Cricetulus griseus: one gene and its partner. The protein of the gene in region 2 binds, or shares a complex with, the protein of the main gene of each other region. Links are inferred from orthologs where the notes say so. Each region holds a gene or a part of one and is shown on either strand. Other genes may lie near its edges.

Region 1 (5,022 bases), on a different chromosome or scaffold from region 2:
GGGTCCAGAACTGCCACCAAGCTACCTCCTGCTCAGAAAAGCTAGCCTCACTACTGGGCTGTTGTGACCAGGCTGAGAATGCCACCCCTACTGTTCCCCTCCAGAGGTGGGAAAAGCAGGACAGCTGTCACAAGCAGGATAAAGTCCAGGTGGTGCCCACAGCCTGCCAAGGTAAAATCCCCAGGAACACAGCTTCACTGCCAGCCTGGACCCAGGCCCTTCTGCTCCATTATCTCTAACTCCGAGGAGGAAAGTCCCTGCTGTAGGGAACCACCACAGATGCCACCTCCAGGCATCATGTGCTCATCCCCGGGGGAAACACCATCTCTTACACCTAGGGCTAGCACCTGCTGCCCACAGCACCCTTCTTCTCCCCTCCTTGGCAAACTCCTATTCATCCTTCAGAACCTCCCAGTGTCTGTCCCTAAAAAACCCTCCATCAGGTCAAATAGACCAGTAAGAAAGGCCCGGGCCGGCCAGGGCAGGTCCAGTAGAGACTAGACAACCAGGGGCATTCTGAAGTCAAAGAAAAGACAGGGAGAGCCGGGTGGTGGTGGCGCAGCCTTTAATCCCAGCACTCAGGAGACAGAGGCAGGCGGATCTCTGTGAGTTTGAGACCAGCCTGGTCTACAGAGTGAGTTCCAGGATAGGCTCCAAAGGCACAGAGAAACCCTGTCTCAACCACCACCACCCCCTAAAAAAAAGAATAGCCTTGGTGGACATCACCTGCCCAAAGACGGAGGCTTCCAGACAGGCCAGTGGCCTGGTAAAAATGAGGCAGAGAGAGCTGAGGACTGCTGGCAGGGTGGGGAGCCCTGACACACTTTCAAAAGCTCATGCCCAGCCAAGAGCGGGATGTGGGGACAAAAACGTCAAAGGGGGATGTGGGCCACATGGTGGAGAGGCTAGGAACGCCACGCCTGGGTAATGTCTTAACTTCTTAGCCAATCAAGGAAGAGCATGCCAGTTGTGCCAGTGTTGGGAAGGCTGAGGCTCAGTTACAAGTTCAATGCTAGCCTGGGCTATAAAAGGAGATCCTGTCTCAAGATTTTGTAATCTTGAAAAAAAAAAAAAAGTATTTGAAAGAACGATCCAGACCCAGGGTCCATGAGAGAAGATGAATATATAGAATAACGTGCACAGGCCACCCTGTGGGCCATCCGCATTAGAACCCAGCAACTGCCCCGTGTGCCCGAGGCTGCAGCCCTTCACGAACCATTGGGACTGGAGCCTGATGCCACAGAAACAAACAAGAAATCTAACAACTAAGCCAAGTGTTGTGACGCAGGCCTGGCATCCCAGCACTTGGGAGACTAACAGGGTGTTCAGGGCCAGCCTGGGCAACATGGCAAAGTCAAGAGACCATCCTGGGCTGCAGCGCTTGTGGGAGGCCAGCGCGCATTACAGAATGAGTTCAAGGCCAGCATGCGACTGTGTCTCAGCAAGCGACGCTCACCAAACGTCCTGCCTCGGCACCGGGTCGGGGCGCATCCCGCGGCACCCGGAGGCCCCCACGGGTCCCCCGCGTGTTGCATTGACTGACCCAGAGGTGAGGAACCCCTCCTGCCCAAGGTCACGGAGCAGAAGCCGGGATGCAGGGCTGCAGGCACCCGGGGACCCTCCCGAGCCCCTGGGGGAGGAGGACGGGGACTCGCCCCATTCTGCAGAAGAGGAAACTGAGGCTGGCAGGGGCGGCGGCGGCAGTTGGGGCCCCGGGGCGCAGGGCGGGCTAAGCCCGGCCCGAAGTCTGCGGTGGCGACAGCGAGGGGACGACAGCAAGGTCTCGGCCACGGTCACGAGTGGTGCAGCCGAGCCGACCAGCCGTGGCGCTCACCTGGGCCGCGAGCAGCAGCAGCAGGGCCGCGGCGAGCCGCGCCGCCGCCATGTCCGCCTGTCCTGCCGCAGCTCTAGGCGGAAGGTTTCCCGGCAACGCCTTCGGGACCCCGAGACGCGCACGCGCCGGCCCTGCGCGTGCGCGGGCCCGCCCCTCGCTAGAAGTGGGCGGTGCGGAGCCTGCGCAGAGCAGCGCAGGTCGGCAAGATGGCGGTGAGCATTGCTGGGTCGCGGAGAGAGCGGGGTTCCCCCCGAGGGACTGTAGACGCGAAAACTGGGGGCACAGGAGGACCAAAGAGAGGGGGGCGGACACCCGAAGACGGATAGGGAGACAGGGACGCGGAGGAATAGGAATCACGTGGGACTGCACACCGGGCGTCTTGAGGAAGCAGACCGGGAACCTGGGGAAGCAGACCCGGAACCTGGGGAAGCAGACCCGGAACCTGGGGAAGCAGACCCGGAACCTGGGGAAGCAGGCGGGGAACCTGGGGGTGCAGACCCGGAACCTGGGGGTGCAGACCGAGGAACCTGGGGGTGCAGACCGGGGAACCTGGGGGTGCAGACCGGGAACCTGGGGGTGCAGACCGGGGAACCTGGGGGTGCAGACCGGGGAACCTGGAGGGTGCAGACCGGGGAACCTGGGGGTGCAGACCGGGGAACCTGGGGGTGCAGACCGGGGAACCTGGGGGTGCAGACCGGGGAACCTGGGGGTGCAGACCGGGGAACCTGGGGGTGCAGACCGGGGAACCTGGGGGTGCAGACCGGAGGGGGAACCTGGGGGTGCAGACCGGGAACCTGGGGGTGCAGACCCCTGGGGGTGCAACCTGGGGGTGCAGACCGGGAACCTGGGGGTGCAGGCAGGGGACATGAGGATATACACAGGGGGCATGGGAATAGAGAGAGATGCAGACTCAGCGACCTGGAATTTAGTTGGGGGAACATGGGAGATGGAAATGAGTTTGCAGACAGTTATGAGGGCTGCAGGATGGTCAAAAGGAGTCGCTGGGTGCCGGGTCCAGGCAACAAGGATATGGGAAGACTGGGTCTCACTCCTCAGCTCCTCCACTCTCCAGCAGGACAAAGAGAAAAAGAAGAAAGAAAGCATCTTGGACCTATCTAAGTACATTGACAAGACCATCCGAGTGAAGTTCCAGGGTGGCCGGGAAGGTGAGTGGATGCAACAGGGCCCCTAAGAATCGGGGTTGCGACAAGCAAGGGAAAGCCTCACAAGGCAGGCATTTTAACTCTTAACAAAGGCTAAGCTTGGGCCATCCTGTTACTTGAGAGGTACCAGTATGTCTCAATTGTGGATGGGGAAAATGAGTCCCAGGGAAAGAAAGCCAGGTGCGGTAGCACCCACACCATTATTGCTGGAGCCTGAAGGAAGAGGCCAGAAAGCTGGGAGGACATAGAAGAAGGAGGCAACAGGGGGATGGAAGGAAGGCATCCCTTCAAGAGCCTGGAGGTAGCAGGGACCCAGGAGGTTTCCAGTAGCAGGATCAGGGAAAGTTCCAGCCAGTCTGAGCTATGTGGCAAGACCTGTCTCCAAAAATCAACCAGGGCTAGGCTATAGCTTGGTGGATAGAGGGTTGGTTTAGTGTGCATAAAGCCCTGGATTTTATCTCCAACACCATGGAAACCAGGTGTGGTTGTACAAGCCTGCTATTCCAACCCTAGGAAGGTAAACACAGAATCGGGAAGTTCAAGATTATTTTCAGGTTGCCTAGTGAGTCTGAGGCCAGCCTGGGCAAATGATACTCTCTCATACAAATGGGAGGGGAAAAAAGGCTATTTTGTGTTACATGGAAACTATACAGAATTCAGTTTGGGGGATGATAACATTTTATTGACACTTGGTCCACCATGAACTCACTATCTATGGCCCCTTCCACACTTGTAGGAAGAGAGTTGGGGGTCATAGTCAGCAGGCCACCACATAGGGACATGTCTCCCCATGAGTTCTGTAGTGATAACTGTCCCCATGCCTGGGTCTGTAGTGGGAGGACAATAACATCATCCTTACCCATCTCTCCCTTCAAGCCAGCGGGATCCTGAAAGGGTTTGACCCACTGCTCAACCTGGTGCTGGATGGAACCATTGAGTACATGAGAGGTGAGCTGGCTGTGGTTGTCCAGGGATGCCACCAGGCCCTGTTTCTTCTCCACACCTGTGCAGTCACATTGCCGCAGGTGGTGCTGACCTAGGGTGCAGGTCCCTCCCTGATCACCAGAAAGGTGACAGGCCCACCATGATGGCCCCAGGCTTGAGATTTCAGCTCCTTCCCCTCAGCCCTCCTGGGGATGGCAGAAATAGTAGCTACTGTCCTCTGTCTGGATTGTTTGCCTGTGTCACCAGCTCCAGGACGCATAGGATCTCAGCTTATTCCAGAATAGTACCTGTAATGCCCAAAGAGTGTCCCTTCCTCTGCACCCACAACAATTACTTTCTAATTGCTCCCTGTCTCCACCTCTGGTCCATCCTCCCCGGGGCCTCTGCTTCCCCTGCAGACCACTCCTTGGGGTGAGTATCTGCCCTGGGTTCTTGTAGTATCCATGCCTACAGTCGGCTCTGAGACCCCAGGGCCTGGGTGTGTCAGTCCCCAAAAGAAAGATGGGACAGCCCTCTGAGGTCCTGGTTGTGGAGTGCTGGGTGGAAAGGACATGTCTTCAGTTCCTCTTGCCTGTCACCCCCTATTCCCACCAGACCCTGATGACCAGTACAAGCTGACAGAAGACACACGGCAGCTGGGGCTTGTGGTGTGCCGAGGCACCTCAGTGGTGCTCATCTGCCCACAGGATGGCATGGAGGCTATCCCCAACCCCTTCGTGCAGCAGCAGGATGCCTAGGTGGAGAGCGATCTGGCCCCAAGGACCTTCCTTCCTGTGTGAACTTTGTTTGGTGTTTTACTTTTGGATTTTGTTTCTGGTTTTTTATTTTGTTTTTTAATAAAATTGCCCACTTGAGCACCCAGGTGTCCTCTCCTACCCCTTCTGCTTTGTCACTTTGGTCATCTGAGAAGCCAGGGGTGGCTCAGGGCAGAACACAGCACAACTTGAGATTCGAGATTAGCAAAGGGACCAGAAAAGCCTGGGCCCCTGAGGTCCCCTCAGCTGGGCCCAGCCTCACCTCATAGCCTTTCCTCTCCTGGGCTGTGGCAAGAGGACACCACCCTCTGGATCCTGCCAGGAC
Region 2 (5,150 bases):
TTGAGCCATAAACACAAGAAAAGGACTTCCTTCTGGCAGGGTCACCTTGGTAAAACTTCTTTCAAAATCAGATATACTCACCTTCCTTCTCTAGGACTCCAGTCCCTCCTCGATTCCTATGCAGGCTTGTTTTAAGTGACCTATTTTTGTAAGTGGCACTCTATTTCTGGCCAGAAGCCACCAAGAGGTCAAGTATGACAGCATCTGCTGTACAATGACTTTTTTCAAAGTTAACAATGGGTAAAGAATCGGGGAAGGAGGTATGGTATGTGTGTCAATTTTATTCACCTAGTGATATGCTAAGCATATCAGATCCAGTCTCCTACAGAGATTTTTTAAACTTTAAGGGGACAGGTAGCCTTGGCACCTAAACAGACTGAGCAAGCCTGTAGAAGAAGCATTCAAAGCCAGTGTCAAACAAAAGCCCTGTCCCAATCCCTCCTCAGCAACCTACACACCACAGGTCCAGCTACTCTAACCCTGCTAGTCAGTAAGACCTTCATGAATGACCAGTAGGTGATACAAGAAAGGAAAGCAGGGGCACTTGCTTAGAAGGCAAGACACCCACATCTACAAAGATGCCTGTTCAGACACAGATTGCTGTAGCTAACTCAGCCAAAAGGCTGTCCTTTGCTTTTTGTTTTTATTGCTTTTATTCATTTGTTTTATTTAGTGGGGCAGGGGCAATAAGCATATGCCACAGGATAACTTTTGGGAGTCTGTTCTCTCTTTACACTAAGTGGGGTTCAGCAATTGAGTTCGGGTTGCCAGGCTTGACCATAAGCACTTTGACATCAAGTTGCCTACGGTAATTCCTAAGAGCAAGTTGTTCTCAACCAAAGGTGATTTTTGTGCCCCACCCTCTAGGAACATTTGGAAATGTCTACAGACATTATGTATTGTCAAAGCGGGAATCAGACTCTAGTGAAGAGAAGCCAAGGACATCCCTCAACAGTCTACAGTGTAGAGCAGTGGTTCTCAACCCTCCTAATGCTGCAACCCTTTAATATAATTCCTCATGTGTGGTGACCCCAACCATAAAATTATTTTCATTGCTACTTCATAAATGTAATTTTGCTACTGTTATGAATCATATGTAAATATCTGCTATGTGATCTCCATGAAAGGGTCTTTCATGGACTCGGCCCACAGGCTGCGAACCACTGGTGTAGAGTCTAGTCCTTTACAACAAAGGACTATATGATGCAACGTGTCAACTCACAGAATGACTGCCACTACCACCTCCTCCCCTCCTCTTCAAACCTTATTTTCTGGTTTAAACAACAAGCAAGGTACTTTAGAATAATCAAGATGTAAATGAGAACCAGATGATGAGTACATAAACTAGTCACCTCTCCTTATCTGTGTATCCAGCCAACATCTAGTAACATGAAGTTGCAATTACAGCTCCAATGGTTTTACCTGTTACAGAGCTAAAGGGCTTTTCCCTTGTCATTACTCCCTAAGCAATATTCCATTGCAACCATTTACATCCTATTACACATTGTGAGTGATCTAGAGATGATGTGAACAACATAGGAAGACTGCATAGGTTATATGCAAACACACATATGGAACTTTGAATATCCATGCACTTTTTAATATTGGGAGCTCTGTACCCAGTCCCTCTCAGATACTGAGGGACAACTGTCTTACTTATCAGGAGTATTTTATCCCAACACTGAGAACCTGAAAACAACCATTAAAATCTTGAATGGGTTGGCATTCTAATAAATTTCTAGTTCTGGACACACAAAAAAAGTGACTTTTCTATTTTCCAGTCCTTCATTATAAAAGGAGAAAGCAAGCCAGGGAATTAAAAAAAAAATCAAATAAAAAAAATTCTATTAGGCCACCCTTCAGTGAGAGAAGACCTGATGCAGTAGTTAAGGGTACTCACTTGGGAGGCAGGTAACCTGTATTCTAATCTCCTCTGCTACCCATCTCACCTCTCATGGCCCCAGGCTCATCTGAAAAATAAGGGAGTTATGCTAGATGGTTACTGACTATGTCTTTCTGTTCCAGCATCTGGTTAACTTGTGCAGTAATACCAACACACACACAGTTAATACCAACACACACCGCACACACACACACACACACACACACACACACACACACACACACACAACACACACACACACACACAACACACACACACACACACACACGGGGGAGGAGGAGGGGAGAGACAGGAAGGGAGGGAGGAGGGAGGGAGGGAGGGAGAGAGAGAGAGAGAGAGAGAATACCAGTAAGCACGTGGTTAAGTTGTGCAGTAATACCAACACACACAGTTAATACCAGCTCTCTCTCTCTCCCTGCCCCTCCTACGAAGATTCGGCAGGAAAACCTTGATGGCAGAACGACAGGCATTACAATAAAAAATAACAATGCCTGAAGTAACCCCGGAACCACAACTGCTGGAAGATCCAAAGTTCAAGGCCAGACTGAGAAACTCCGTGCAAGTTTAAACGAGATCAGTAACGATTCCAAAGAGAGGCTGTACTCTGCTACTGTTAGAAACACAGGAGGCGTGTTCACGGATTTGGTGAAAGAACCGGTGTCACACACGAACGAGGTAATTTACTAACACTTTAAAGAGAACCAACCCGGCAACGTGCAAGAACTATCTAACCCAATGACTTCTCCTCTGAGAACTTGTCCAAGGAGATGGTGAGAAATAGAGTCAAGGGCGGGAAGTGCATCCCAGGATCGCATGGACGCTAAGATGAAGCCATCGGGGAAACACCGGAGTCACTTATGGGACCCAGGCAATGACAAAACAAAAGCAATGAATGTTAAAGTTACACCTGGCTGCATGTGTTTAACGTAGACAGAAGACCGAGTATTTCTGGTAGTACTAGCGGAAAGAGAAGCAGGCACACACAGGAGGAGAGGAGTGGGCAGACGGAAGCGCCCAGCAGGGATCCTTTCCCCGGCTCCTCGTGTCCTCGTGTGGAGGGACTCGAGCGCGCACGGAGGAGGGGGGCGCGGGAGCGGCGGCCGCCTAACCCGGGCTGACACAGCCGGCGCCCGGCGCGCGCACGGCAGGACCGCACGGCGCGGGAGCGCGAGGCCGCGTGGCCCTGACGGCCTTCCGCTGCTCGCAGGCCGGCCTGGGCTCCAGCCGCAACCCCGCCCGCCCCGGCCCTCCGCGGCCTAGGCCGACCGCTCCGCTCCAAGCACCCACCCGCCCCACCGCCCCTCCCTCCCGGGCCGCGCGCGGGCTCACCTCGCAGCCGGATCCGGAGCCCTCACAGGCCGGGCCTCCGCGGACGCGCGCGGCGAAAACCGAAACCGCCCCCGGCAGCGCGCTTCGCTGCCTCACCCAATCAGCGGCCTCCTTGCCTACGGCAGCCCGCGGGGACCAAAAGGATCAGGCCGTTCCATAACGCTCACTTCCAAGAATTGGTTTCTTCAGTGGTGAATTCAGCATCCAGGGGCTGAAGTAAATGCCGGTGTTCTGATGTTGCCGTCTTTTTTTTTTTTTTTTTGCCAGAAAATCGAATCAAAAGCAAAACAACCAAGAAAAAAAATTTAGAAGTAATCTTTTGAGATTCCAATACAGTAAAGAATACCTTAAAAATGACAGGAAACAGAAACTTACGATTAAAATAATAGGCTATTAAGTACCCCAAATAGCCTTAAATAATTTAAAGCAAATAAAAGTTAAAAGCCTCAAGCTCCCAACCGACTTCTGAATATTAATTAAATGTATGAAGTTTAAGTTACTGTTAGAGATTGTTTCCATAGCAATTTTGCTACAAAAATATAAATAATTTAAAGCAACTCTATTACAATGGCGCCAATTGTAAAAAGACATTACAAATTAGTTTAATTGGAAACAGCATGCAGATACCATTTAAGTGCTGTGGGGGAACTTGGTTGGGGATAATGCATGAATTCTTAGTGTATGCTGACTGTTTATGGAAGGAAGAGATTACAGGAAGACTTGATTCCTTTTTTTCTACACCCATGCTCTCATTTATATTTTACATTTATATTTTAATTTCTCTTTTATATTGTATTTAAGATTTATATTTTAATTGTTTCTGATGTTTAATCATCAACACAGTTATAAGACCTTCAAACAACAGCTACACACCCTGTTAGATCTTACAGGTCCTACAATGCAGAACTTTTTCCTGAGACAGAAAGTGGTTCCTCCTTTCCTAAGAGCCTCTTAGTGAATGGCGAAAGAAACAGACCAGTGACTGGTGCCACAGACAGAGAACTGGCTGAGATTTGGTAAGGAACAGCCATATCTTTCTATCCTCTGTAAAACCTCAGCTGACTCGAAGACCGTCAACTACAGACATTGATAAGACAGCATTTTAGGCTCTTGAAATGTAAAATATAAAATTAAGAACACAAGTAAAGTCACATTTAAATCAAATAACTGTCTGCAGAGAAGAAAAGTGCTATGCCCTGTCCCTAAAACAGGCTGCTTTGTAAATCAAACTGGAAGCTGAGGATTTGGCTCAGTTGATGGCATGCCTGGTGTGCATTAACATCTCTGGCACCACAGTGGTGGGCACAGCAGTGCACACCCAAGTGTGGCTTCAGGAGGATCAGAAATCCAAGCTCATTTGAGGCTACAAAATGAGTTTGAGATCAGCTGGGCTATTTGAAACCTTATCTCAAAAGAATTGTACTGTGTTCCTCACTGATTGCTTTAATTATCAAATATACATTACATATGTAGACTGAAATAAGTAGTAGAGATAGATTCAGAGCTGCTTTTACTGTGCCACAAAGCTGGGATGCAGCCATTGAGCTTGGCTGGTGAGCAGAAAGTGGGAAGAGCCTGGTTCATCTGCAGGATACTTGCTACTGTCTTCAAGGGCAACAAATGGTTGGGCCAACAAACTTATAGATATGTGGTTATTCTAAGAAACTTCTCAGCAGCTTATAACTGGCCTTTACCAAAACACCAGCCAGCCTCCCACACTCCCCAGGATCATCTTTTACTATATTCACAAGGAAAACATGTGCAAAACTTTTTCCACATTCTGGTTCAAAAGGCAGTCTTCAAAATCCTGCACATAAGTCTAACTTATTAAGGAGACTTTAATATCATAAAAATAATTGGGCAACTTAGTCTGCTTTACTTAGGTCAGGTATCACAATAATAAGCTTACATTGTCACA

Evidence for each region. Proteins that work in one complex are often made in the same cells at the same time.
Region 1: Lsm6 (region 2) and Lsm7 share a complex: the UniProt entries of both Homo sapiens proteins name them as parts of the precatalytic spliceosome. The link is inferred for Cricetulus griseus from reciprocal best matches to the Homo sapiens genes LSM6 and LSM7.

The regions. Positions count from the first base shown.
Region 1 is NC_048598.1:101,634,049-101,639,070, reverse strand, and holds Lsm7 (U6 snRNA-associated Sm-like protein LSm7), read left to right. Parts: upstream 1-1,976; 5' UTR 1,977-2,040; coding exon 2,041-2,046; intron 2,047-2,906; coding exon 2,907-3,000; intron 3,001-3,873; coding exon 3,874-3,945; intron 3,946-4,536; coding exon 4,537-4,679; 3' UTR 4,680-4,803; downstream 4,804-5,022. Other genes in the region: Sppl2b (signal peptide peptidase-like 2B), read right to left, coding at 1,835-1,885. UniProt on the Homo sapiens protein: Plays a role in pre-mRNA splicing as component of the U4/U6-U5 tri-snRNP complex that is involved in spliceosome assembly, and as component of the precatalytic spliceosome (spliceosome B complex).
Region 2 is NC_048596.1:154,693,242-154,698,391, forward strand, and holds the start of Lsm6 (U6 snRNA-associated Sm-like protein LSm6), read right to left. Parts: upstream 3,371-5,150; 5' UTR 3,233-3,370; intron 2,830-3,232; exon of another isoform or gene 2,811-2,829; intron 1,971-2,810; exon of another isoform or gene 1,901-1,970; intron 1-1,900. UniProt on the Homo sapiens protein: Plays a role in pre-mRNA splicing as component of the U4/U6-U5 tri-snRNP complex that is involved in spliceosome assembly, and as component of the precatalytic spliceosome (spliceosome B complex).